3 linked regions of the Saccharomyces cerevisiae S288C genome follow. Changing the gene in region 1 together with any one later gene gives a genetic interaction. Each region holds a gene or a part of one and is shown in the gene's direction. Other genes may lie near its edges. The genes, in order: YHR213W-B, CCL1 and PRP3.

Evidence for each region.
Region 2: mutations in YHR213W-B (region 1) and CCL1 together harm fitness more than expected from each alone (negative genetic interaction), as found in Saccharomyces cerevisiae (one large-scale study listed by BioGRID).
Region 3: mutations in YHR213W-B (region 1) and PRP3 together harm fitness more than expected from each alone (negative genetic interaction), as found in Saccharomyces cerevisiae (one large-scale study listed by BioGRID).

The regions. Positions count from the first base shown.
Region 1 is NC_001140.6:533,754-544,868, forward strand, and holds YHR213W-B (uncharacterized protein), read left to right. Parts: upstream 1-7,046; coding exon 7,047-7,346; downstream 7,347-11,115. Other genes in the region: YHR212W-A (uncharacterized protein), read left to right, coding at 4,989-5,192; YHR213W (uncharacterized protein), read left to right, coding at 5,398-5,994; YHR213W-A (uncharacterized protein), read left to right, coding at 6,796-7,029; YHR214W (uncharacterized protein), read left to right, coding at 7,898-8,509.
Region 2 is NC_001148.4:612,887-625,100, reverse strand, and holds CCL1 (TFIIH complex kinase subunit CCL1), read left to right. Parts: upstream 1-10,542; coding exon 10,543-11,724; downstream 11,725-12,214. Other genes in the region: APL4 (AP-1 complex subunit gamma), read left to right, coding at 1-632; YOP1 (Yop1p), read right to left, coding at 899-1,390, 1,524-1,574; YPR027C (uncharacterized protein), read left to right, coding at 3,843-4,676; alpha,alpha-trehalase ATH1, read right to left, coding at 6,087-9,722. UniProt on the Saccharomyces cerevisiae protein: Regulatory component of the TFIIK complex (KIN28-CCL1 dimer) which is the protein kinase component of transcription factor IIH (TFIIH) and phosphorylates the C-terminal domain of RNA polymerase II during transition from transcription to elongation after preinitiation complex (PIC) formation, thereby positively regulating transcription.
Region 3 is NC_001136.10:1,403,945-1,409,968, reverse strand, and holds PRP3 (U4/U6-U5 snRNP complex subunit PRP3), read left to right. Parts: upstream 1-4,114; coding exon 4,115-5,524; downstream 5,525-6,024. Other genes in the region: JIP4 (Jip4p), read left to right, coding at 1-2,505; TRAPP subunit TRS31, read right to left, coding at 5,796-6,024.

The DNA.
Region 1 (11,115 bases):
ATTACGGAGTACATTCATTTCAAAAAGAAGAATGTATACTGCTTAGATAAGAAGATCAAGTTTTTATATTTCCGACCAAATAAGCCATCGAAAACTTTTGATGCACCAAACACCGTTCTTGAGAGCCAAGCACAGATGCAATTGTTCTGCCCTTCTTCCAAATTATGAATTGTGCATCATATCGTAAGGCCAGCCACATAAAAAAAAGGAGCAAAAAACTCAGTATACAGGCGAATATCCATCATACAGTCTAGCTGCCCTCACTACTTCCAAAAAAATGGGCTAGTGTTGTACGGTTTATGCCATATATCTAGAGTTAGCATAACTATGCACTACCGCTTTTCGAACAAAAAGTTTGCGAAACCTAGTTCATTGAATATGACTTACCCAAAATGGATACCAAGATCCTAATAATAAAGTCAATAACTTGAATTTTAGGTGCCATTATTTCCAACAATCATTATAGGCTAACTCTACCAGCAGACTAGAATACCGTTCTTCTAGTTGAGCACATGGTCAAAATAGTCAATAAAAAACGCCCAGAAATGGCTGTAAATTAGTGTTTGTAGTACACAAAATAATTTCCTAATTCCTTCCAAATGGGGTTTTCAAAAAGCTGACTCACGTAATTGATCAATACTTCACTAAAGAAGAATCATATGAATAAAACTAAAATCAACACTAACTGAGAGACTTAGCGGCCAAAGCTTAATCATCATTACATAGAGTATATGAAGGGAGTAAGTGAATATGCAAGGGTGGGAAACGGCAAAGCATTTTTATGCAAAAAGCGTATTTACAAATCCCGTAAACTCATGATGTGAATTTTGTAACCAGCTTTAGCTGAGATTATTTCTTTTGCAAAAGAAATATTCAATAAATTAACAATTTTCAAATAAATTACCAATCAATGGTCGATAACTTGCAAGAGAGATATCATCATTTGGCTTTTGTGATAAATTTACAAAACGTAATGTTGTATCGAGATATATTGAGTTACAAGTTTTCGTCTCTTTTTCCGAAGCGCCAGACTCCCGTATAAAAAATAAGGTTTATAGCGGGCATTATGCGTAGATCAGGACTTAAATTTTTCATTGCAGAAGTCCAATTTCAGACTCAGTATGGTTTGTTGTAGTGCTGGTGTAAAAGATGGTGTTATTACTTAAGACTGATTTGGTTGCTCAGGTATTTCATTCAATAAAATTGTGAAAGAGAACCTGGAATATAGAATGGAAATATATATCCTGCTACTAACCCCAATGGAAGGTGACGATCACTTCTTGTGCGTTCCAATCCCAGTTTTTGAATGTGCGAGTGGAAAAATTCTAGAGGAACAAATTGATATTTTCAAATCAGAATTCATCAAATATATGTACTCTGTAAAAACCAAGGATGTGATGAAGTTGAGATATTGTCTTTATGGGAAATTGACTTCTTTGTTTAATATGAATAATGCAATTTTACTCCTCAGCTCAAGTAGTGTAAAGATTCAGTAGCCGTCATCAAATAGACTAAAAATTAAAAAATAAGATTCAATGTGGTATGATAATGATAGATGAGAAGAAATTGCAAGAAAACGAATAAATACCTTGTCTCTTTGCACTGAATATCTTAAAGGACATACAGTCGCAATAACGTCTACTCATTGGTGTGTGTCAAAAACAGTACGTTTATTATCTGGACAGCCAAAAAATAAGATCTATTCAAACATGGAATATAGCGTATTTTTATTTAATCACGGTACAATGGAGATATTTGCATGCCTATAGAAACAAGTAATAGTTATCATATTATTTTCTAGATTTTGTCACTGAACTTTTCCACTAATGAATCCTATCAAAATTATATATCCAATATGGCTGCATTCCCAACTAAATATTAAAATGCCGCTAAGTATAAAATGTCTCCGCATCGGTAAAAAGCATTACAAATGCGTATTATACTAGCGAGAAAAAAGTATAAGTATCAATGCCAATCACCCTCTGACCATAAACTTTCTAAACATGAATAATAAAGGTGTTGAGAGTTATTATCCTAATTGATCAATTAATTTGAAGCAAAGTTATTATGTTAAAGAAAAAGGGATGTCACAATCCTAACTATAATTTTTGCACTATACTCTGTAGGCGTACAAAATGGTTTGTACCGACTATATTCTCTTTATTTTTGACAATCCTTTACGATATATGATTAAGAATACCATGTTATTTTTATGAAAATCTGTGATTTTTTTGTTTTCATACACTTTTTATTTTTGTCACGTAGTGCACTTTGATTAATACAAAAAAAAATGCTGCAAAAGCATCGACTACATAAATTCATTAGGACGCATTCCTCATTACCACCTGGGTCTAATTTTTATTTTGAAATTGATATTATTCTTTATATGATGAGGTAAAAAGCATTATATTCGTTGTAAACTCATATACTTATCCTCATTTTAGGCACCATCAGGGACTAAGGGCTAAAGTATCAGAGCCGCATTTCAACAGTGTACAGAGATTTTAGAAACATTATCACGCACTGCCTTTTGCTTTGTTTACCCGTAATGAGTATACAGTGGATTTTCTGGTGCTAAAGCATATTGCCCTTTCGGCAATACTTGATGCCCTAAACATTTTCATCCTGGAACATACGAGTAAGAGCACATTTATGTGCCTATATTCCTCGTTTTTTACTGGTGCTGAATTTCTTATTTTCCACAGATAACAATCATGTTAATAAATTATGCACTGTGCTAATTTTTCAATTAAGGTTCTATTACCCCTCTATCACCGACAGAAACACGTAATGATGTGTTATTTCCATTATAATTCCGTAAGAATGGTGTTTATAGGTAGTCTAAAGAACGTGCATCAGAGAAGAATGACTGTCGCAAAAAATGACTATTCTTTACCTTTTCAAACTTAACTGAGATAGTTATCTCTATTATTACCAGTGGCACACACGCGAACTACATCACTCACCACTATCGTCTTAGGAACTCAAGATTTTATAGTAATGCAGCCGAAGACATTCAAGTCCTGAGAGAAAATGTAGACATTTTAAGAAAAGTACCGGAAATAAAGCACATGTAAAGCATTGAGCTCTGTACTCTATAAAAATTAGCTGCATTCAAACAACAATGTTTGAAATTTTTGCAAAAGTTATTGAAAAAGATTGCTGTTTTCAGCCTTGTTCAGATCATGTCTCAAAAATGAGAAACTGGAACTCTCATAATCAGTACCTCGTATTTTTTTTTCCTTATAGTTTCGTTATTAAAAATTTTTTTGCTGCTAATTTAAGTACGCTTTTGGTCATAAATGCTACCCACCAGTTGAATTATTGACATGATTAAAATACATTTCAGAACTTTACGGATTAAAAACTTTAAAGAACCTTTCAATCCATGTTGCTGGAGGGCCATGAATCCACGAATTACAGCAAAAGAAGACAGTAACTACTTAGGGTTCAATAATTACTTGCATAAACACACACTAACAACCAAATCGTACTAAAATTTGCAATTAACAAAACTCCATCATATCACGCTGAATTATGTAGGGCTTCTTAATGCAATAGGTTGCCTGAATTTTGCTTACTCGTGCTGCCGGGAACACTTAGCAGTTGGGAGGCCGTTTCTCCCATATATTTCATAATTTTCTGTCCTTCTTAGAGTAGGATGCTGAAAATCAAAAGAAGACCGTCAATAGGACCAGATTTTGTGGGTCAATTTTGGGCCAGACACATGATACCCTAGGAAGTTTAACGGTATACAACTCAAGGACGAGGAGTATTCGGAAACTACCGGTTTTTAACAAGCTGCAAATTTCCAGTAGCTGTTTTGGTTGCGACTACGGATAAAAATTCATACTTTAGGAAGTGAAGCAAGATAAAAAATCATGCTGCATCCTAATTCGTGAAGTTTGTTAGGAATATTATTGTAAACAAGGAACCGTTTCAGTAAACTTGCTCTCTACTCTTCTAAGCTGTAATTTAAAAAAAGCGATAAAACAATGATTTTGATTATCTGCAACTTCTGGAAACTCGAGATACTACGCTAGACGAGATACCTATTAATTGTTTTCCTAAAAAATCAGGAACAGTTCCTGGCAGCTTTCGGCTCCTTCTTGTTCTGGAAAGGATCTTCAAATCCGCTTCCACGTAGCAGTCCTCGCTACGACTTCTTCTGAAGTATTTTGATTTTTGGCTGCATTTACCTTTTATTGCCGAAAATCTTATTTTCCAAGAAAAAAGCTTATTTTGCATTAAGTTTAAAAAATTTCTTCTTTCCCGTAGATTGACTTGCAGCGTCAAAATTCCGGAGGCCTCACGAGATTTTTTGACATCGGTTTTTGACATCTCTTTTTCCTTCCTTTTTCTTTCTTTTCCTGCGCACGCCGATAAAGAAGTAGTACAACAGACAACGTCAAAATGATCCTCTTGTGATGAAGCAAAAGAGGAAGAGTATACTCCTTTTCCGCTTGTACAAATATTTTTTTTGATAATAAAATTTGGCACTTCAGAGCTTATCGTATCTTCTCCCGGAGTTCCTCAAGACTTATACTTCAGCCCGTTTAGGAATGCATAAAAGCAAATAGGATTCGTTACAACTGCTGCAGGACTCTTTAGGACTGCATCAAGGTAAGCCTCGCTGCACCTAAACGCAAAATGTGGTTGTAACCTTTTTAATTTTTTTCTTGAACTTGTTGAGTCGTAATAAATCGTTTCTGGGAAGTGGAAGGTAATAATGTAATGGAATCGGCGTTACTCGCATGTGCAGATATCAGCGACAAAAAGTGTTGTAGGGACGTTTCGATACCAAAATTTCCTAAATACAGCGCAGGAACATCACTACGCTAAACAAATCGTAGCGCATACATCTGATCGAAAAAAGACAGTTCCCAAAACAATGACATATGAAGAGACCAGCATCAAAATTTTCATCATTAACAGCATGGCTAAAAGTTATTGTTTAATATACCCATACCTGATTGACGAACCAAGAAATGCCTTATCACTATTTATTTTTGGCACTCTTCACCTACCTGGCCACGTCCAATGTTGTTTCAGGAAGTACACAAGCATGCCTGCCAGTGGGCCCGAGGAAAAATGGGATGAATGTCAACTTTTATAAATACTCATTACTGGATTCAACAACGTATTCCTACCCGCAATATATGACTTCTGGATATGCCTCGAATTGGAATTAGGTTCCGTTGGCGGACAGACGGATTTCTCAATTGACTACGATCTTTCTTGTGTTATCTCTTCAGGAACTTTTAAATGTGCTCAATCAGATGCTTATGGAAACTGGGGATGCAGAGGTCATAGTGAATGTTCAAAATAGCCAAGAAAGACCTATTGGAGTACTGATTTACTTGGTTTCTTACTATCCCAAAAAACGCTACTCTAGAAATGACAGGTTACTTTTTACCACCACAAACAAGTTCTTACACGTTCAGGTTTGCTAAGGTCGATGACTCTGCAATTCTATCAGTCGGTGGTAACGTTGCGTTCGAATGTTGTGCACAAGAACAACCTCCAATTACATCGACGGATTTTACAATCAATGGTATTAAGCCATGGCAAGGAAGTTTGCCTGATAACATCGGAGGGACTGTCTACATGTATGCAGGCTACTATTATCCGCTGAAGGTTGTTTACTCCAATGCCGTTTCCTGGGGCACGCTTCCAATTAGCGTGGAATTGCCTGATGGTACTACTGTTAGTGATGACTTTGAAGGGTACGTTTACTCTTTTGACGATGATTTAAGTCAGTCAAATTGTACTATCCCTGATCCTTCAAAACATACTACTAGCATCGTCACAACTACTACCGAACTGTGGACTGGTACTTTTACTTCTACATCTACTGAAATGACCACCGTCACCGGTACTAATGGTCAACCAACTGACGAAACCGTTATTGTTGCCAAAGCTCCAACCACTGCCACCTCATCCAGTTTGTCATCATCTTCTTCAGAACAAATCACCAGCTCTATCACGTCTTAGCATCCAATTATTACTCCATTCTATCGCAGCAATGGAACTTCTGTAGTTTCTTCCTCAGTCATGTCTTCCTCGGTCATTTCTTCTTCTGCAACGACCTCCACTTCTACATTCTCTGAATCATCTAAATCATCCGTCATTCAAACCAGTAGTTCCACCTCTGGTTCTTCTGAGAGCGAAACAATCTTAGTGATTGCTGGCATGTCATTAGCGACAAGACGCTTATTACCGTAGTAGCCCCCCAAGGCAAACATCTCTTTATCAGTAATATCCAAAGCTGTTCAACTTCTCGAATTGGCCCAGGAAAAGAGCATTGGGGCGGCAACTAACTCTGGCATACTTACAGTTTCTGCTCTTGACAGCGCTAAAAAAGGGCTTGTTTTGTAATGCCCGGTTCGCAATTCTACAAGTACCACGCACTAGCTGCTAAAAGTGTCTAACCTTGCGAACAACTCTGGACTTTCTTATGAGAATCCCATCGTCAAGAAACAAAATTATACAGACAGGCGTAAATGTAGCTCGTAAGCGCCTGATCAAGTAAGCCAAATGCGCTAACTTGAGGAAATATAGCCATCTAAATCTCTGCAACATGCCAATTCGCACGTGACTTGAAACTATGGAAAGTGTCTAGAAGATTACCAAGAACCACGTTATTTGAGAGAGGATGGCAAGGTGACGACAATCACACCAAGACCACATTTTGGGTGCGCCTGGAAGCAAGACCTGAGAAACTGGGCCAAAATATTCAAACCAAGCATAAGATAGTTGGAGGTAGGAATACACTATCTAATCTGTGCTGATGAAATGCTGGCGAAAACGGGCGATGTAGTGGTACAGAAGGTGCCGGTTATCCGTTTGTCCGTTTTTCTTCATTTTTTTTTTGTTTTTCCCTTTTGTCTTTTGCACCGCTTATATATGGGTATGAAACAAGTTCAAGAATTTATAATGGAACCCAAAGGTTCAGTCTTTGTAGTTCGAGCGACATTGCGCGTTTCCTTAGAAAACGCTGGAAAGATATTCTTTAACGAGACGGAGTAATTCTCGTCAGGAATAGGATGTTGATTGATTTTTGCTGTAGTTATATAGCAGGGACCCACGGAAGAGAGCGAGCGCCTTCTTTCACAGGGACTTTTGTCAGCCACGTCTCCGCGGAAAACAATTGCCGTCCGCGTCGCAGTGAGATTACGCAGCCGTGCGCTTCAGGGACAGAAAAGAAGCATTTCGCGGCTACGGAGAAACAGTGCACTAACTCTCTCGAGGGTAGCCGCAAAGATTTCTTGTCTCTTCCATTAGGACATAGCTATCTTTTTCTTTTCTGTTTTTGGCGTATGATCTGTTCTGAGCCAAAGTTATAGAACATTGCTTGAATAAGCACCTCACAGAGTAGGGATTGTATAGAAAGTAGCTGAGCGTCTGCCCACGTAACAAACAATCTTGCCCCTTCCCCGCTCTTGTTTTCGCGTGCCTCTTCTACAATAATCTGGCCAGGCTAAATCGCGTTCTGCTGCTGCTGCTGCTATTGTTATTGTTGTTGTTGTTGTTTTGGCCAATTGCTTATGTGTTGGTCTGCAAATTAGCACCTCGTTCCCTGTTGGCAAACGCGCGCGTACAAGCCTTACAGGGCTTGAGAATGTTCTTCGTAGAAATGCATGCACAAAAATTTTGATCTAGCACACCATCGGTCTCTGTAGCTTCGGGCTCTATAGCTATGGGTTAGGAGTCCGTGAGTAGTAACAAGAAGAAGTATATAAAAAGCAGGTAAATCGTACTTCAATATGCTTCATTGTCACTGGATCGTCATATTCACTCTTGTTCTCATAATAGCAGTCCAAGTTTTCATCTTTGCAAGCTTTACTATTTCTTTCTTTTTATTGGTAAACTCTCGCCCATTACAAAAAAAAAAGAGATGTTCAATCGTTTTAACAAATTCCAAGCTGCTGTCGCTTTGGCCCTACTCTCTCGCGGCGCTCTCGGTGACTCTTACACCAATAGCACCTCCTCCGCAGACTTGAGTTCTATCACTTCCGTCTCGTCAGCTAGTGCAAGTGCCACCGCTTCCGACTCACTTTCTTCCAGTGACGGTACCGTTTATTTGCCATCCACAACAATTAGCGGTGATCTCACAGTTACTGGTAAAGTAATTGCAACCGAGGCCGTGGAAGTCGCTGCCGGTGGTAAGTTGACTTTACTTGACGGTGAAAAATACGTCTTCTCATCTGATCTAAAAGTTCACGGTGATTTGGTTGTCGAAAAGTCTGAAGCAAGCTACGAAGGTACCGCCTTCGACGTTTCTGGTGAGACTTTTGAAGTTTCCGGTAACTTCAGTGCTGAAGAAACTGGCGCTGTCTCCGCATCTATCTATTCATTCACACCTAGCTCGTTCAAGAGCAGCGGTGACATTTCTTTGAGTTTGTCAAAGGCCAAGAAGGGTGAAGTCACCTTTTCTCCATACTCTAACGCTGGTACCTTTTCTTTGTCAAATGCTATTCTCAACGGTGGTTCTGTTTCCGGTTTGTAACGTAGAGACGACGATGAAGGCTCTGTAAATAACGGTGAAATCAACCTAGACAATGGAAGTACCTATGTTATCGTTGAACCAGTTTCTGGAAACGGTACAATCAACATCGTCTCTGGTAACCTATACTTGCACTACCCTGACACCTTTACTGGCCAAACTGTTGTATTCAAGGGTGAAGGTGTTCTTGCCGTTGACCCAACCGAAACCAACGCCACTCCTATTCCTGTTGTTGGCTACACCGGTAAGAACCAAATTGCCATTACCGCTGACATCACTGCTCTTTCTTACGACGGTACTACTGGTGTCTTAACTGCAACCCAAGGTAACAGACAATTCTCTTTTGAAATTGGTACTGGATTCTCTAGTTCTGGCTTCAGTGTCTCCGAAGGAATCTTCGCAGGCGCCTACTCATATTACCTAAACTATGACGGTGTCATCGCTACAAGCGCCGCATCCACATCCGCATCCACTACCTCTGGTGTTGTCTCTACTGCCACTGGTTCAGTCACTTTATCCTCTAACGCTTCTACCACCGTCTCTTCTACGATCTCTTCTAGCGCCCCAGACTCAATAATTCCTTCATCTAGCGCCTCCATCTCTGGTGTCTCAAACTCCACTACAGCATCTGGTTCAATCGCTTCTACTGCTTCCACCGCTTCCACTACTTCTACTGCATCCGCTGCATCCGCCACCAGCTTCACCTCAGGTTCCGCTTCTGTCTACACTACTACATTAACTTACTTGAATGCCACAAGTACAGTCGTGGTTTCCTGTTCAGAAACAACCGACGCTAGCGGTAACATTTACACCATTACCACAACTGTCCCATGCTCATCTACCACTGCCACCATCACATCTTGTGACGAAAACGGATGCCATGTTCCAGCACCAACTGCTACCGACGCAACTGCAACCGTTTCCTCCAAATCATACACCACTGTTACTGTTACTCACTGTGACAACAATGGCTGTAACACCAAGACTGTCACTTCTGAATGTTCTAAAGAAACTGCAGCAACCACCATTTCTCCAAAATCATACACTACTGTTACCGTTACTCACTGTGACGACAACGGCTGTAACACCAAGACTGTCACTTCCGAGGCTTCCAAACAAACATCATTGGCCACTAGCACAGTCACCAAGTCTGCTGCTCCAACTTCTCATACTGCTGCTTCCAGCACCTTCACTGGTATTGTCGTTCAATCCGAAGGTATGGCTGCTGGTTTGAGAACCAATGCTTTAAGTACTTTGGCAGGTATTTTCATCCTTGCTTTTTTTTAAAATGAGTGCGTAACCGTACTTTCCTAAAAATAACTAAGTAGAAAGTATTTTAATATATAAACGTGAGATATATGTGGGTAATTAGATAATTGTTGGGATTCCATTGTTGATAAAGGCTATAATATTAGGTATACAGAATATACTAGAAGTTCTCCTCGAGGATATAGGAATCCTCAAAATGGAATCTATATTTCTACATACTAATATTACGATTATTCCTCATTCCGTTTTATATGTTTCATTATCCTATTACATTATCAATCCTTGCACTTCAGCTTCCTCTAACCTCGATGACAGCTTCTCATAACTTATGTCATCATCTTAACACCGTATATGATAATATATTGATAATATAACTATTAGTTGATAGACGATAGTGGATTTTTATTCCAACATACCACCCATAATGTAATAGATCTAATGAATCCATTTGTTTGTTAATAGTTTGAATGTTTTTATCGGAAGAGGTTTGGTCATTACGTCTGCAATATTCTTTTTGGTTTCGATATAGCATACGTGCAGATGATTTCCTGATACTTCATCTCTTAGTCTCATTGCTTTAGTACCAAAAAATCTGTTTCTAAATTTCTCTTCATTATTGGATATAATTATACTGATTGTAGATTTACTGTCGGTTAGTAATCCTTTAGTAATTGGTTTCTTGTTAAGTTCTTGCACAAGGTGACTGAGGTTATTTAATAATGGGACAGATTCACTTATCGCGTGTATTTCTGCTTCCGTAGTTGAAGTACATGTTAATGAAGCCTTGGTGGACTTTCCTCCAATTACCTTTCCATTAAGTAAATATATGTTGCCAATTTGTGACTTGTAATATGGTTGGTTACCATATGAAGCATCACTTATTGCGACTAGTTTATTATCTGGCTCGGTAGGTTTGTTTTTGTGCCATATCAGTTGTTTATCTCTAGTGTCCCACATGAATTGTATTAACTCATATGTCATGTCTAAAACTTGCCTAGAGGGGAATAGTATATGTTGAGCAAGTGTGTTGATGTAGTATAGTAAGTCAAATCTAAATTTATATCCAACATATGAAGCTAGACCAATCAACTTTTGCATTTCATGTACCTTCTCTTTGTATTCATCTTCATCTATTTCTAGTTCATCCTGGTCTATATAAAGACCTGGTTGACCTGGAGCGCTAAGTTTTCTTCCTTTTGGATTCAAAGGTACGTTTAATTTGGGTATTTTCTCAGTTAATGAGTTTTCCATACCTAATTTCATGTATTTACCTCTTTGATATTTGATTTCTAAGCCAAGTATGTCGTACTGAATTTCGTTATCACTTTCACCCAGATTTA
Region 2 (12,214 bases), on another chromosome or scaffold:
TCATTTTAGAAACAATGCCTAAATTTGAAAAAATTACCGAGGAACAGGATAATGGAAAAGCTCTATCGAAAAACCTTATCTCCAACGAACCAGTTGATCTGCTGTCAGATTTATTGGGTGAGGATAGCAAGGCTGAAAGCAAGGCTTCTACTGGTGACAATGTGAAACCAATTGACATATTAGAAGAGATTTTTGGAGAGAAGAATGACATTGCTCAGGTGCCCAAAAATGCGAACAAGGAAGAATCAATCAATCATTCGTCGGCAGTGGAGGCAAACTCAGGTGTCACCTTACCATTGGATGCCAACAAGATATATGACAGTTCCTCACTGAATGTATATGCTTCCTTGCTCTCTGCAAACTCTGGATTAGCACATTTGGATTTATATTTTCAGGCAAAGTCTTTAATATCTGACTTAAAAACTTTCTGTGCCGTTCCTAAAGCTCAAAAGCTAACACTAGGCCAGTTATATCCATCTTCCACAATAAACGCCAGCCAAATTTGCAAGCAGTCATTGAAAATTTCTGGATCTGGGAAACTGAAGTTAAGAGTTAAGTTGGATTTTCATTTAAATGGCTCTTCATCTATCACCAATGAACAGTTCGATCACAAATTCGATGAAACTCTATAAAAAATGCCTTTAAAATTACAGAACATAACATGATTAATGACCTTGCGTTGGATGGTCTGTCGCGCATATCAAGAGACACGTCACGACACAACACGATGAATAGAAATGCTATCTTCTGGGACACCATAAACGACTCCAAAATATTTTATATGTTAAGTAGCGATATATAACAACTAATAACATATGTACTTATATGCTCTCAATAGAATAGATAACAAAGAGAACAAAAACGAGAGTTTGATTTGAGGATATAGGTGAGTTGCCTCTTAATGAACAGAAGCACCTGTAGCCTTAGAAGCCTCATTGACGGAAGCTCTAATTTCATCCTTTTCTGTCTTGCTAACATCTCTTAGGATATATCTGTCGGTCAATGGGGCTACGATCTTTTGATAGATCATTCTAGCGCCACCAGTTTGAGGCAAGGCAATGTAGATTAAGAAAACGGTTTTCAAAAACCAGTAGAATGGAATCAAATATAGAATTGCCTTGGACCAGAATTCAATGACACTCAAAAATGAAAAGACAATCCAGTAGGTCAAGAGTTGTGTGTCATCGGTGGACGTTGGTGTCTTCAAAGCAACCAACGATAAATATGCTGGCAACACAAACCCAGCAAAATTGGAAAGAATTTCACCTACACCTCCGACGTTAATAAAAATCAAAAGGAGATAAGCGAAACCTAAACCAGCAACTAAATAAGATTTAGGCAAATTAGTTTTATTTTCTAATTGCTGTAAAATTCTATTACCAGAGTACTTCTGTAGAAAAAAATGTAGCAAGGAGGGTGAAAATTAGCTTTCTTGTTAGTATAACTGCTTCGGTTACGTGTGTCGGGTCATTTGGCTGTTTGAACCATGATGACGATGGAACCAATAAAACCATCTTACATACGGTATCGAATTGTTTCATTTGAGAGTGAATACTAGATGCATATTCGGACATGATTGGAGTGCGGTTATGTCTTTGTTTATTTGTTTTCACTACCAATTGCAATTTTAGATTCTTTCTTTCGGAATAACAAGCTTCAAGGGAATGTTTTTTAGTTTTAAATCAAAAAAAATTTTGAAGGACATATTTTTTTTTTTTTCGTTCAACCTTGAAAGGGGTTACGCATACTCCCTTTGACGTGGACAAGAAGAGAGAATAACGGCGCTAAGAAAGCGAACCACGAAAATTCGAGAATGGTGATAAAAAAATAAAGGTTAGAATGCCACACAGCCTTCCAAAGAGTGAATGAAAATCTTTTGACTTGATGTAGTTTTTTTTTTTTCAGGAGGAAGTTTAATCCGGATTGTGATTAAATCAGTACTGCCCCTCCAGCAGCCATATAACCTACTTACTGCGTAACTAGTAATTGCGCTCACCCATCCTATCTATGCAACTCTTCTGAAGGTCTTCTCAAGCACTTAATTTTTGTTTTTCAGGAGATTGACAGGGTTTGTCGCTTGTCTTGGCACTCATTCCAGCACTGATTGGGCAGCTAGTTTGAAGAGTTGCACCAATAAATTAGAACCTCATTAAAGTCATGAATGGACGAGCAAGTAGCAAGTCTTATAAATACTTGAAAACGTGCATGTGATGATGGCATCGCTCCCTGTTGAATTTCTTTTTTTCCGTTGGAAGGTGCACTTGTTGAGCGCATTAAAGTTTTATAAAGCATAGTATTCAGGCTCAAAATAAAAGGGGACAAAACAAAACGTGCCGGTGAAACATATATGTCTTGAGAAAATTATTATAATGTTGTCTTCGTCTCTTACTTTTAGAATGTACTCTTTAAAAGTTAGACGCTTGGACCATTTATAAAGCACAAGAATGCTTGTTTATTTCATTCTGATATGCGGATTTAGCTCAGTTGGGAGAGCGCCAGACTGAAGAAAAAACTTCGGTCAAGTTATCTGGAGGTCCTGTGTTCGATCCACAGAATTCGCATTTATTTTTTCGACCTGCCAACTGCGGAAAGTTGGTTCTTGAACTTGACTGCTCCTTCTCTTATGGAAATATCAATGAAAATATAGACTCAAGTAGGAAGATGAAGGAGTTTTTCAACTTGAATGTCTGACTTTTTTTCAAAATTTTCTTACGCCATTGGCCATCTTTTAATGTCTCCAACAAAAAACCAATAACGGATAATCAATATAAGCGTTGGAAAAGAATTTATCACGGCCAAAATTGTTCCCGTTAAAAGTTCGAAGTTTTAGGGACATAAATTTGTCTAAAACTCATGGAAGCACACTTTGCTTCCATTACGTATTGTATAATATTTCCTACTATATCGTGGACTGATACTTTCTTGAGATATCTACATACTTTCTCCGTCAGAGTCAGTCATCCCACCTCAGAGTTTACTAAAAGAGGTCAAAAAGAGGGAAGCAGACAGACTAAGGTAGATGTCCAAAGTTGACAAATAAATATCTGGCTCCACAGTTTTTCAAAATCTCTTGATGATCCCTTGCATTTAAAGGACCGTTATTTGCCGACTACGGACAGAGAAGTTAAATCTGAAAAGAAATGAAAGAAGTGTACAATGACAACAAAAACGATGAAGTAACGTCTTTTTTTTTTTTTGATTACTCCCAAATTCAGTTCCCCCGTTCTTGAATTGGACTACCGATGTTTATGAGCTGGGCATTTTCTCAGGAATTATATAGTATGTTAAGTGTGTAACAAATTGAGATGAATATATACGTGCTGGCTTACGCATTATGAAACACACTAGTAGAATAAGTGTTTCGGATGGGAAGTTTATTGATACTAAACCTAACGTGTCTTCCAAACGAACAAATAATAATGTAGGTTTCAAATTATATCAGCGACTAACTTCGGCGGCTATATGGACAGTCACTAAAGTGTTTTGAAGATGTTTTCTTTCTGTGGTCACGACGGTAGCCTCAACTGCCTAGAAATTTACAAAACAAAATAGTTTACAAAATTAAAGCACTTTTCAAGCGCCGTGCATATTAGTTTTTGTGGTACTGAAAGTTCGGTTACATGATGTGCGGCAAACAACTTTTTGATGTTGGCTAGCAGATCGAGATTCTGTTGATGATGGCAACGTTGAAAAAGCGTTGATCACAAGAATTAGAAAGTACTAATTTTCCATTACTTCTAACTAAAGAGGGAATTACCATTAGTGTAATTCACAAACATTTGTAAAAAAACAATCATCATAACGTACTATTCATAAACATATAAAGCGCCAGATAAAAAGAAATGGTTGGTATTTACAGAATACTTGCTTCGTTCGTCCCACTCCTGGGTCTTCTTTTTGCATTCCATGATGATGACATGATAGATACTGTTACAATCATCAAAACTGTATATGAAACGGTGACATCAACTTCTACTGCACCTGCACCTGCCGCTACAAAATCTGTTAGTGAAAAGAAACTGGATGACACTAAACTAACACTTCAAGTAATTCAAACTATGGTATCATGTTTTTCTGTAGGTGAAAATCCGGCCAATATGATATCCTGTGGGCTAGGAGTTGTAATCTTAATGTTTTCATTAATCATCGAGCTTATCAACAAGCTCGAAAATGATGGTATCAATGAACCGCAAAGGTTATATGACCTAATTAAACCAAAATACGTCGAGCTACCTTCAAATTATGTGAATGAAAAAATCAAAACAACATTTGAACCTCTCGACCTATACTTAGGAGTAAATATGAATACTTCAGGAAGTGAACTAAACCAAAACTGTTTGATTCTCAAACTTGGCGAGAAGACGGCTCTGCCTTTCCCAGGCTTGGCCCAGCAGATTTGTTATACAAAAGGCGCTTCAAATGAGTTCACAAATTATAAATTATCGGACATACAGGGCAATTTAAACGAAAACAGCCAAGGAATTGCTAATGGCGTTTTCCAGAAAATATCAAACATTAGAAAAATATCAGGTAATTTTAAGTCTCAGCTTTATCAAATTTCAGAAAAAATCACCGACGAAAATTGGGACGGTTCTGCTGTAGGCTTCACTGCTCATGGGAGAGAAAAAGGCCCAAACAAATCTCAAATATCGGTTTCATTTTATAGGGATAATTAAAATAATTCTCTAAACTTTGCTATACCTTATTCGTTGTTGATAAGTACACTTGTCCCATTTCCAGAAATTTAATTATTCAAGTCTTTAGCTTCGATAGACGATGTACTTGAAAAATTTATAATCGATATAATTTTCTCTTCTGATTTTTTCACTCTTTTTTTTTTTTTTTGTACTATAGTAGGATACTCAGGGAAAAAGAAACCACTGCCTTTGAACAATGTTGCGAAACCAATTGATTAGTGGGCTACAAGAGTGTAAATAATGAAGATCTTTCATTTTTTGTAGGAATGCGTTTACTCTGGCGTATCTTTTGTAAAGGTTTGTTTCACCGAGAAAGGAAAAAGCTCGGCAATTGGTTTAATCTTGGTTGGATTGTAAAAAAATACATTAAAATTTAGGTTCTACCCCGCAGTGTTTGCTTAATTTACATAGGACCCTTTTCCTGCCGTTTTTGTTTTGTAAGGGTGAGGAAAAACTGGGGACGATGAAGAGCAAAAAAGAAACGAACATATTTGTGAATACATTATACACCTGAAGTAATAAATTTGTGGGGGACGTCATTTAAAGCCAAAATACTTCTTAACACACAATTACTATAAACTATTCCTGTAGATTAGCCCACCCCACCTTGAGAAAACCTTCAGGATACCAAATGGCAGGACCCAACTAACACAAACTCATTTTCTTCAATTTATACAAAGTACGTTTTTCTTTCGTGAATAGTATATAGAGCTTTAAATATTTGCCTAGTAGGCTTCTGTATTTTCAGATTGGCGCTACATCAAGTTACCTCTAATGTATTGAATCTAGAATATAAAAATGTATGCAAACATTATCGTTGCAAATTTAATTTAAGTTGCGAGAAATTTAGGAATATTTCTGTTCAAACCCTACTGACGAGAGAAGAGCCAATATCAAATCTGGTGGTAATCCCGATGGAATCAGAATCGTCTAGTAGGAATTTGAAGTCTATTTTTTTAATATGGACTCATACAAAAAATTAGAAAAGGCGCCAATTAAAAATGTGCAATCAATGTAATGAAAGAACTGATCTCAATGGCAGGAAGATCAAATTGGTAGGTAGATCATGTCTATATAATGCATGTGAAAATTTTATAGAAAACTGTTGTGGGCTCTGGAAAACAGGCTGCTAAACAGTACTTAGTGGAATTAAAGTACGCTGGTGCAAAAGACCAATTTCAAGGTCACTACTATATAAGGTGCAAAAAAAGCTTGTAGTAAAAATTATTGCTCCTAAATGTCACCCTATAGAAAAAAAAAAGCTTTTATATAAGCATGCATGATATTTTCAATATAGTGCCTTTAAAATATATATCCTACGAAAAAATTGGTAACTTTTATCCAAACTTATAATATTAAAAAAAGCGCTACTTATATGCATCATTTCATTTAATCATTGAGAACAATTTCCTTGATTGTAGCTCCTTTGTTATCATCATCATAATCATCATACACTCCTTGTACTGCCACAACTATGTATCTTGTTTTCCTCCAATCTGTGTTCCCTTTATCACCCACCTGCAATTTATCATAATCAATAGTGAAAGTCGTTCTATTACTGGGTAATATCTCGATTAACGACTGGTTGCGACTTGCTTCGTAGTATGGCTCACTTGGGCTCACTGGCACGTTATCCAGAATTTTCACAAATTTTCTTTTTAGAAAGTTAAGTCTGGGTATTTGTTCAATTAGCTTGGCTAAGTCTTCCTTCTTCCAGTGCAATAAGGCTTGCACATCATCCAAAGATTCATCATCCTCTTGTTCTATGCCATCAAAATCAATAACGTTCTCGACAGGAATTCCGGCATTATCTAAAAGCTGACCAATGGTTTCATTAAGAAGTTGATCATTTCCCGAATTTTGCATAATTTCTGTCACGTTCGCAAATAAATTTTCGACTTTTTCAGAATGAGGCAAAATAGATATGGAAATGTTTTTTGCGGGCCTCTGCCCCCAAAGAATCATTCCCTTGGTAATCTCTTTCTCGTTGTATTCACCTAAATCAATCAATAGCTTCGCACGGTGAATTTTGTCTAAGGGTTGCCAATGCGTGTAATTATTCCCATCTAGAGCAGAGAATGCAACGTCACCAGGAACGCCGGCCGTCAAGTTTGTTATTTGCTTATTTTCCGCTATGTTGTTTCTTGCGTTTAAGCCAGGCTTGAACAGTTGGACTGTAAGCTCTTGTTTCGGTTTTAAAAGATAATAGGTACCATACCTATCCATCCTCATTGGATCACCAACACGGTCGACGTCTCTACGCTCTAGATTTGGTTTTCTTTCGTTTTCGGAACCATTATAGAAGTTGATATCCTGGTCATGTATTAGAGATCTGTTTGGTATCTTTATATGAATAGGAACATCTCCTGATTTATGAACAATCGTACCATTGTGGTCGTCAATTATTATATCTAAAACTTGGTTCATATATTTGAAGTTTCTAATAGCGATACCACCAGGGAGCAACGGTAGTTCTATTGGATTGAACCTTAACAAACGGTTAATTTTTTTAGTATCTGGATCAACCTCATAAGAATATCGGATTCCTGTTAACCCAAACAGAATGCTCTGTAGAAATCCACCGTTAGCTGTTAAAAAGGGGAATGCTGGCTGGGTTAATCCGTTTGTTAAAAAGTTGTCGTCTGATTGCTCACTAAATTGAGCGAAAGGAGCCCGTAAGTATGGAAGAACCGATTTATATAAGTAACTTTGAGAAGAAGAGCCGTGATTCAGCAGACCAGCAGCTGCGGCCACAAAAACCGGATATGTCATTGCAGGCCCAGACGCAGACTGTCTTTCTGAATAATAATAAAGATCTTTAATTGCATTGTTCAATATGGATTCATCATTGATATATCCAAGTGGGTAAACCATTAAAGTCACATCCGCCTGTTTAATCTCCACTGAGCTATTCATACCAGAATATTCCAAAGTGATGTTAGATGAGGATCTAGGGATATAAATATCTTTGGAAATTTCACTCCATTTGGGGTCAACGACCTCGCCGAGATGATTGCCAATGTCTGTTGCCCACTTTAGAAGTGTTTTAATGCCAGCATTCGTGAAAGCCCCGTTATTGATGTGATTAGCAAACTCGTCGGGATCTGTCAAATTATATGTTTCATACAATCCTAGGGAAGAATTGTACTTAACATAAGCAGTAAAAAATTGGGCTGCGTTTTTGATAATTGGCCATGTAGTATATCTCAGATACTCGTCATCAATCCCTTCGTGTCCATTCAAGTATATGGAAAAGGAGGCCATAGCGACATCAACGTTAATATGGTATTCGTAATCGACACAAGGTCCCGTAGAAGTACAATTAGCGTACTTACCAGATGTCCAGGGGTATATTGCTCCGGGGTATCCATATTTCTCTGCATTTAACTTTGCCTGCGAATGTGTAGCATTTCTGTAATTATTCATATTTTGAGCCACATTTGGGAAGAAAGGCAATAGGGCAGGTTCCATCCATATATCTGCGTCCCAGAACACCATACCACCATAGGAATCTGATGACAAACCAGAAACTCCCACGGGAAGACCCCTATCGCTCGAGACATTGTAATCTCTTGTATTTGCTAGTAAATGGAATAGGGACGATCTTGCTGTCATTTCTAAAAGACTGTCAGAAGGAATTTCAATGAAGGCGTCGTTGTAAAGGTCATACCACGCACGTTTGTGACTTGACAGAAGCTTCTCGTAATTGCCTTTACTGTTTAGAGCTATCATTTTGGCCAAACCAATATTAGTATTGTCTTGTTGTTCTTTGTTCTTATTGAACTCAGTAGACATAATACCAACATACTTATGAACGATTATCTTGGGTTGGTCCTCTGTCAAAATAACATTATAAATATTAGAAGAAACATCTTTTTCTTCAAAAGATTCACTAGAATTTATTGGATTGGTGGAATTTTCATACTTTACAGTACACGTTGAGTAAATAGCGCAATTAGAAGATGGAACGTTATCTGGCTGAACAATCATGAAAACCGCATTATTTTTTTCGTCTGTTCCCGTGCTATGTAGAACAGTCCTATGTGATGTGTTGAAATCAAGTATATCCCATATATTAACATCTAATGAATCAAAATCCGAAGGTAAATGGTCCGTATTCAGGGAAATTTCCAAAGAAACCACTCCCAGTGGATGAATGTGCCGATGTGCCCAGATTTCACTTTTAACATGTATTTGACTGTTTAGCCAATCTAACTCCGTAGTTACGATACCATCCTTCATTGATAAGTTTTGGCTATAATTAGTTACGTCATCCAACGTAACATTTTGTGGATTGAACCACTTAGAATCATTCACTAATGAGAACTGTAGATTGGTCCATTGTGGAATAGATGAAATGACAGTGGAATATCCTACATCATCCAATTCTGGGAAGTTTGTTGAATTTAGTTTTGGTTGTAGACAATAAAAGTCCGATACAAACGCACCGGCAAATCTATGATTTCTTAAGGGCCAACCGTTATTCAAAGCGCCTGGTGCGTCTGTGTAAAAATTCAGGGTGTCTAAGGCATAGCCGAACCCAATATTGGGAATACGACTACCTATATAACCGTTAGCAACATATGGTTGTCTCGAGTATGTATTCTTTGAGAACAAGTTACTTCCCAAAATCATGTTCTCATCATCATAATATGCCGTGTTGAAATCAGAAAGGAGTTCATAAAGTTTTTTAGAAGATTCCCTTGCTTCTGGATCGTAGTTCAACGTATGATTTCCCAATGACGGCGATATCACACCCAGAGGGTTAAATAGGGCAGCCCTCGAGGCATGTGAGTATGTAAGCCTGGAACTCTTTGTTAAATATAATGCAGTGACGAAGATAGCTAATAAAAATAGCATCATCAGTAAAAGTATAGAGTTGATCAAGTCAAACCTTGAGAAAGAACGATAATTTTTAGAGCGAGAGTTATTACCGGTACTATTTTTGTTCCTCAAACTAGGAGAATTGTTAAGGTTTGAATAAGAAGCCTCCGCATTGAACCAAAGCGATCTTATTCTTTTCATTATTGGAATGAGGAAATTTCGGTAAAAACAGATGCAATATTAGGTGATACTAGCAGGCTCTCATAAAGGACTGATGAATCCTTTTTTAAGGAGCAATAAGATTCTTTTTTTTTTTTTTTTTACTTGAAAAAAAGGGAGTGGTAATATGGTGAAAAGTGGAGAAATTTTGTTATTATTATTCAATAACGACAAGAATTCTCTTTCCGAATATAAAAACGGCGCGGCTGTTGGTTTGTCGTGATACGTAGTGCTTGCTTGGACTTGGAAGTAAGACTATACCAAAAAGGAAATAAATTTTGAGGGGCAAAGAAGAGATGCTTGTACTGCCTTGCTGACTCAGATTGTTCGTTGATTTTGCTCAACTTTCCGCTTGCTTAGAGTGAACGTGATAGCTTTACGGCTAGAATCAAGATGAATGTTCCTTTCTTTTTCCGAAGTATTTGCCCTTATTGAAAAAGAATGATAAGGGATATACGAATAGACTGGTAAATATTGTAGATACACTTGTTTTTAGTGAAGCGAGAATAACAAAGCTTCAGCTAGAGACGTGACGGCTGAGAGGTGACCTGAAAGAAAGTAGTTATTGCTGGCTTGAAGAGTGAAATAACCTTGGTACAGACTTTGATAGCACGAACTGTTTGCCATCCAGAGAAGAAAGGGCCTCTCATTTCCTGCGGTATCCCTTCGTTGTTTAAGCCGTTCACAATCCGGGTAATAAATTTGATCTTAACACAGTTTTTATATTAAGAAAGATCTCAAACAAATGAGTGAATATTAAGTTTAAGAGAGGAAAATACTGTGCTGCACAGATATTGATAGAATGACGGATATTCAACTAAATGGAAAGAGTACATTAGATACTCCTTCTGCTACCATGTCAGCAAAAGAAAAAGAGGCAAAATTAAAATCGGCTGATGAGAATAACAAGCCACCGAACTACAAAAGAATTTCTGACGATGATTTATATAGGCACTCTTCTCAGTATAGAATGTGGTCATACACTAAAGATCAACTTCAGGAGAAAAGGGTAGATACCAATGCCCGAGCGATTGCTTACATTGAGGAAAATTTATTAAAATTTAGAGAAGCACACAATTTAACAGAAGAAGAAATAAAAGTACTAGAAGCAAAGGCTATCCCTTTGACAATGGAAGAAGAACTCGATTTGGTGAATTTCTACGCAAAAAAAGTTCAGGTAATAGCACAGCATCTAAATTTGCCAACCGAAGTAGTGGCCACTGCGATATCCTTTTTTAGGCGTTTTTTCTTAGAAAATTCTGTTATGCAAATAGATCCTAAAAGTATTGTACATACTACTATCTTTCTAGCCTGCAAATCGGAGAACTATTTTATTAGCGTGGACTCGTTTGCTCAAAAGGCCAAATCTACTAGAGATAGTGTTCTCAAATTCGAGTTTAAGTTGTTAGAATCATTGAAATTTTCACTGTTGAACCATCATCCTTACAAACCGCTTCATGGGTTTTTCTTAGATATCCAGAACGTCCTTTATGGTAAGGTTGATTTAAATTACATGGGCCAAATATACGATAGGTGTAAGAAGAGAATAACTGCCGCATTATTAACCGATGTCGTATATTTCTACACTCCACCCCAAATAACACTAGCAACATTATTGATTGAGGATGAAGCCTTGGTCACAAGGTATTTAGAAACAAAATTTCCCAGCAGAGAAGGTAGCCAGGAATCAGTACCGGGAAACGAAAAAGAAGAACCACAAAATGATGCCAGTACAACTGAGAAAAACAAAGAGAAGTCCACAGAGAGCGAAGAATATTCGATAGACTCCGCGAAGTTACTAACCATAATACGCGAGTGTAAAAGTATTATTGAAGATTGTAAACCTCCGAGTACTGAAGAGGCCAAGAAAATTGCGGCAAAAAACTATTATTGTCAAAATCCATCAACACTGATTCAGAAATTAAAAAGGAAGTTGAATGGAGAAGATACTTCGTCCACCGTTGAGAAAAAGCAAAAAACATGAAACAGCTCTGTTACCGTAGGTTTCTGTTTTATATATATATATAGATTAAGATGCATAGGTATATAGACCGGCGCCATTTTATATTATTTCATGCCATGAATATATACTGCAAAAAATGTGACAATGAGTAAATTGCTAACTAGCGCTACAATGTGATTATTTTTGCTACACACGTTTATCCATTGAATATTCTATTTACAATGTATGGCGTATTGATACACATGTACCTATATATATCAACAAGTGCTTTTATCTTAACTTTTATGAAAGATTAATGATTGGTTTAATCATCAACGATACTCCGTTCCATGGTGTGACTTTTTTAAGGCTTGTCACTGGGGGAAAGCGACGGTTGGTTAAGGGATGAAAGAAATTAATAACCCACTTGCGATCATCGGTTATCCTGAAGTATTTTGTCGCAAATACCCAAGCTTAATGCCTCTTTTCTTATCACAGAAATAATATTATAATTTCTCCTTACGAATAATCT
Region 3 (6,024 bases), on another chromosome or scaffold:
AATGATGACAGGCGCAGTCTAGCCTCGATATTGGACTCGAGCAGTTCCGTCAAAAAGAAGGGGAAAGGCAGCAACGAAAAGTACCTACCATGCGTATCTTTCAACACAGTTCCCAGATCAAGGGTATCTTCGCCCTTAGATGAAGAGAAAAGAGAATTTCCTGGCGTGCAGATCTCTGCAGATTATACAATGGAGGAATATTATGACGACGAAAGTGGCTTTACCTCGGACAACAATGCCGACTACTTCTCCGGGAATAGCTATTCGAGTAGGCGAGAGGGCAGTGCTAGTCCCGGCAGGTATTCTTCTCCACCTCCTGCCTCTAAAAGAAACATCAAAATAGGTAAGATGTTTAAGATTTCTGAAAATGGTAAAATTGTAAGGGAAGACTATCCTACTACACCCACCGATATCAATGACGCTCTTGTGATTAGTAGGGCGTATGCCAATTGGAGACAACTATGGATCAAGAAGAAAAATCAGATAGATCATCGATTAGAACAAAAGCGCGATTTCTTCAATTACCCAACAATACTGTTTCCTCCAAACAAAAAAAAGTCGTCTGAGGGCGCTACTCCCACAATAAAATTCAATCCTCCCATAGAAGACGGCTTTACGCCTTTGACTAAGTCTCAAAAGCGGAAAGAGCGTGTTTTGAGCGAAAAGGTTGGGTTCCCGAACACTCCTCGAACGATATTGTGCCACATCAGCGGCAGGAAACATACTTGGGTAGCACTAGATTGGGCGCTACGAACTTTGATTCAAAATACAGACCACATTGTTGTGTTGGCAAACCTGCCCCGCCTGACTAAGAATAATTTCGAAGACAATGATTCGATGAGTGAGCGAAAAAGAATGCTAATGATGATGGATGATAGCAGGAGTGTTAGCTCAGCAAGAAGATCACGATCCAGATCGAGATCACGATCCATATGTACAAGAAGGGCACTTTCTCTGGGGCCTGAGGAATCTGACAACAAATTAAAGCACCAAAATTTTATCGAGTGGACATCTGGTTATACGCAGAACGAAATAGAACGTAAATTGCAAGATCTTTTTGATTATGTTACACTCATAATTCCGCAAGATCGTTCTGTCAAGGTCACTGTCGAGATCCTAATTGGCAAGACTAAAAAAACGCTTCTTGAGGCAATAAACATCTATTTACCTGATTTCTTTGTATCTAGCACTTTGAGGTGGGAGAGAACAGACAGCTTAGTTCGTTGGAAATCGAACTTTCTGACAGATAAACTGTGTACTAATTTTCCGATTCCAACGTTTATTGTACCGGCAAAGAGAATGTTCGATTTGGAAATAGATTTGCAAAAAGAGTTTAAAGAACCGGAGGTAACGAAACAAAAAAATACTAGCGGTCCAAAGCCTGGGTTCAGCCATTCTAAATCAGCAGATGCTAGCATTCCAACTATCTCAAATATCAAACGGAAGCAAGATAACGATTATTCTATAGATTCACTATGTTATGCCCCAGAAGCTAATGGTGCTAACAATAGTAGCCGAGAGGAAGCATCTGATGATGAGCTTAACGCTTTTAAGGATGATGAGAATGATGTGATGTCCGTGAAATCCTTAACCTCTAACATTTCGGTAAAGGAAAAGTTATGTACCATGGCAAGGAAACGTAGAAAGAGTATGGCTCAGCAGTTAAATGACGCCGATCATGATTCATCAATACCACCGGGACAGAGGCATTTGAAAAAACTGAATATTATTTTGGAATCTTCATTAAAGTTTTCATTAGAAATCGATAGCATCACTGATAGTATTGAAAATGGGGATGTAGACGAAAAGAGAGCACACTCTATGGAGTCGGGCTTTGAAGAACTGAAAAGAGTCATCACAGGTGGTGCTCCTCCAAGGCATGTGGCTACCCCGCAGAGGTCCATGCTTGATGTTTTGGACAATCCAAGTTCATCTAGATCCAAATCCAAGTCAAGATCAAGCTCTAAGTCAAGGATAAGAGACAAATCAAAACCAAGCTCTCCTACTGCTACCGATATAAACTCAAGTGCGAGTGCGTCGAGATCACGTTCTCCGCAAATCAAGTTCGCGTCGAGTGTCAAGAATGTAGATGGTAATGCTGCACTGGGTGCTATTAAATCTAGGCACTCGCTAGACAGCCCAGGGGACCAGCAACAACAACATCATCATCACCATCATCGTGACACAGATCAGTTGTCCGTTCCAGGCCTTCCCCATTTGGCACCTTCAAAGTCATATAGTGTGAGTTCTGGTAATAAGGATTCATCTTTGAGGAAAGTCAGTAGCTCATCTTCGCTCAGAAAAGTAAAATCTAATGATTCGAACTCTGGTAAACGTATTAAAAAACCGGTCGTAACTTCAGCACACTTGAAACCAAGCTCAGGCGGTGGTGGTTTATTCTCTTTTTTTAAGAGTAAATCGAGATCCCCGTCATCTTTCAGAAAGGAAGATGAGAGTAAAAATACGCCTAAGCGTGGCGGATTGTTTGGGTTCGGAAGGCTGTAGTTGGTCTTACGTTCTTATGTGTTTATTCGATATAATTCTATAACATTTTTATGACTTTGTGCCTTTATGCATAACATGTATTGTACATATTAATCGACAAAAATGACATTCAATACCCTACACTAGTAATTAATAATGCTGCAATTCCATCATCGCATTCTCACCTAAAAGAAATGTGGACAGTGTTCATTATAAGCTGGGTTCCTATTCGTATTTCCGGCAATAATGCGTGCTAAGTGAGTTTGTAAAATCGTTAAAATGAGAATCAATGTACAAGGTTAGTATCACGTCAATTCTTTCAAAGCTTTATATTATTAGGTATACCTCCTTTGAAAGTAGCACCAGTCAAGATAATGGATCTTTATCCATAGTTATTGCAATTACTTTCAAAGCAATGCGGTTGTTATTGTTGCAAAAATATTGCAATATTAACTTCTTAGGAATGGTGAATTGAATTGTGTCGTAACATACGCTGTAACCCTTGTCTTTTGGGTTTAGAATGCGGAAATGAAAAACGTATAGAACATGATGAATCTACGAAGTGCAAGGTCCACGAAACAAGACAGTATCGTTGCAATTCAGTGAAATCCTTAAAATGGTTCAAATATAGATACTGGCTATCTTTTTCATTATATTGGCTTCTTTGACCTGTCACAATTATAGGGTTCAACAGTTATCTTTGGAGGAAGAAGCTGCTCATTGATGAGAAACAGGATTTATGGAAGAGAAGTCACATTCGTGAAAGGCACATTCATCAAGAAATTTTATTTTTTCTTTTGTGCTTCCCAAATTTACTGCCATACTACTCCATTTTTTGACAGCTTATTCATTTAAGAATACGACCTAACAATAGTATTCCGGAACTTTTTAACAATATCAATGACGACTAAGAGAAAATGACAACTGCAGGGAACAGATTTTAGATTTGAAAAAGCCATGACATGATACTACTATGTTCTAGATGTGTTTTATCTCCTTTTCGGTAGCATTTTTTTGGTAATTATCTAGTACGAGAGGTGACAAAATCTGTTGTTCTCCTTTAGGTTGTCGTAGTCAACTTTTTTTGTAGGAAAATTCTTGCAAGTACCCTGAAGTTATGTATGATGCAAGTCTATTGATTGTAATCAATAAGTTTTTCTAGCTCTGGCTTGCTATGTAACGTAGTGAACAATCAATGTTATCGAAAAAGTTTAGGTAAAATTCTCGAAAATGAATGCTGATAATTACTTTTTCTTCACTCCCCAATTTTGGATAATACTTGGCAGCTATATTCGCGAAACAGGAAGGTTAAAAACTGCTTCTCCAATGAAACAGTAGTTAACATATCCATTTAGCTAGAGATACTGCTTTTGGCCTCTGGACAGGCACTGTGAATTGTTCTTATATGTTCTAAAGTAAAGAGCCATGACTCAAAGAAAGTTTCTTGACTATGTTAATTTTTTTAGCATACAAATTTTAATATTATTCACATCTGCGTTTTTCTGACTGGATCCCGCACTGATCAATAACAAGAAATAGTCCTAGTAAAGTATTAGAATGCCAGATGACGTAAAACAATCAAAAAGACTCACAGAAAACATCAGGCGATCTATTGAATTGGCTTGAAAAAATGCCCCCAAGAAATACCTATGAAAAAGGTAATCCGAAACGCCAAAATAGTCCATATTATAAGCCAAGTTTCTTACGGCGTGAAGAAACTACCAATGATGAGGAGAAGTTTCAGGGCCATGGTCTGAAAACCGAACTTCACTCAGCGTTAAAGTCTTCAAATTTGAATCTTATCCGAAGAACTTATCAAACTGGTGAAAATCCCTATCTTAGTGATCCACACGATCGAGGCTCATCGAGCAGATTTAACAGGCGTTATGAACGGGGTCTGAAGTTTTACCAAAAGGGAGAAATCAGTAAAAGAATTGCCCAAGAAAGAACATTACAAAAACAGCAGGAGGAGGAAGAATTAAAAAGAAAGTTAAAACAAGAAGAAGACGAGAAAGATAAAAGAAAATTAATTGAGTCAGGTGATTTACCCAATTTAGAGTTACATGAGGATAAGTTCCTATTAGATTTGTCAAAGTTCAAGATATACTATGATAATAATCATGGCTATGAATGGTGGGACACGGCTTATTTAGATGAAAAGGGTGAGTTGATGGAAAAATATGACATGAATGGCACATCGCCTGCCGAAGAAAAGCTAGCAGAAGATATTGATGAAGTAGACGATGATGATGATGATGAGCACCCATCTATAAGATATGTAGCACATCCCTTACCTGAAAAGATCAACGAGGCAAAAGTATCAATCAAAGCATATCTAACGCAACATGAAAGGAAAAGATTAAGGAGAAATAGAAGGAAAATGGCAAGAGAAGCACGGGAGATAAAAATTAAGTTAGGACTATTACCTAAGCCTGAACCGAAAGTTAAACTAAGCAACATGATGAGTGTTTTCGAGAATGATCAAAACATAACGGACCCAACTGCCTGGGAAAAAGTAGTGAAAGACCAAGTGGACCTCAGGAAGAGAAAACATCTGGAAGAAAACGAAAGAAGACATGAAGATGCTATTAAAAGAAGGAAAGAAGCAGTCAATATGAACGTTGAAAAGCCGACAGTATACCATTGTAAGGTGTTCCAGTTCAAAAACTTACAGAACCCAAAAATAAGATTCAAGTTGAAAATGAATAGTAAAGAACTATCACTAAAGGGTTTATGCCTCCGTATACGTGATGACGGACCAGGAATAATTATAGTCGTGGGTAACGAAAAATCATGCAAATTTTATGAGAATTTGGTGATGAAGAGGATAAAATGGAATGAAGATTTTGAGTTGCACACAAACACTGGGGATATAAAAATGGACATGCATAATAATTCAATATCAAAAACTTGGGAAGGCTATTTACAAGATTGTAAATTCAAAGGCTGGTTTATGAAAGTATGCAATGATCAGGATTCTTTATTACGTACGCTGGGTCAGTTTGATTCAGAGCATTTTTATTCACCTGTTCAAACGTGATATCGGTGTCTACAAAATGATACGCTTTGTTTCATATTAAATATTATTTTACTGTATGTCGCCCAGAATAATGATTTTTTTAGCACAAAAACATTCCAAAATATAAAAAGAAAATGATTTTATATGATAGATGTACTTCAAGGAAATCGACAATTAAAAGAATCATTCTTCGTAATGAATATATGAGCATATGTCTATAAATCAACAGTAAATATACAAACTCTTTATCCTTTTCTTGGTTTTAGGTATTTACCGATGTTTTGAGATGATATCAGCCAAATCTCAAACCTTCCCTGTCAAGCACTTGCCTGTCAAATTGGATCAAATAAACGGTTCGTTGACTATGTCCGCCTTGGGGCATTCGATGTGCTGTCACGCCACATGGAAATCCAGCATTGAAAAGGAATCCTTTGATAATGCCGCAAACGAAGTACTCACAAGAAACGTTCTCACCTGGGATAAATTGGGTTAAAGTGGGGAAGTTATCTACTATCATATAT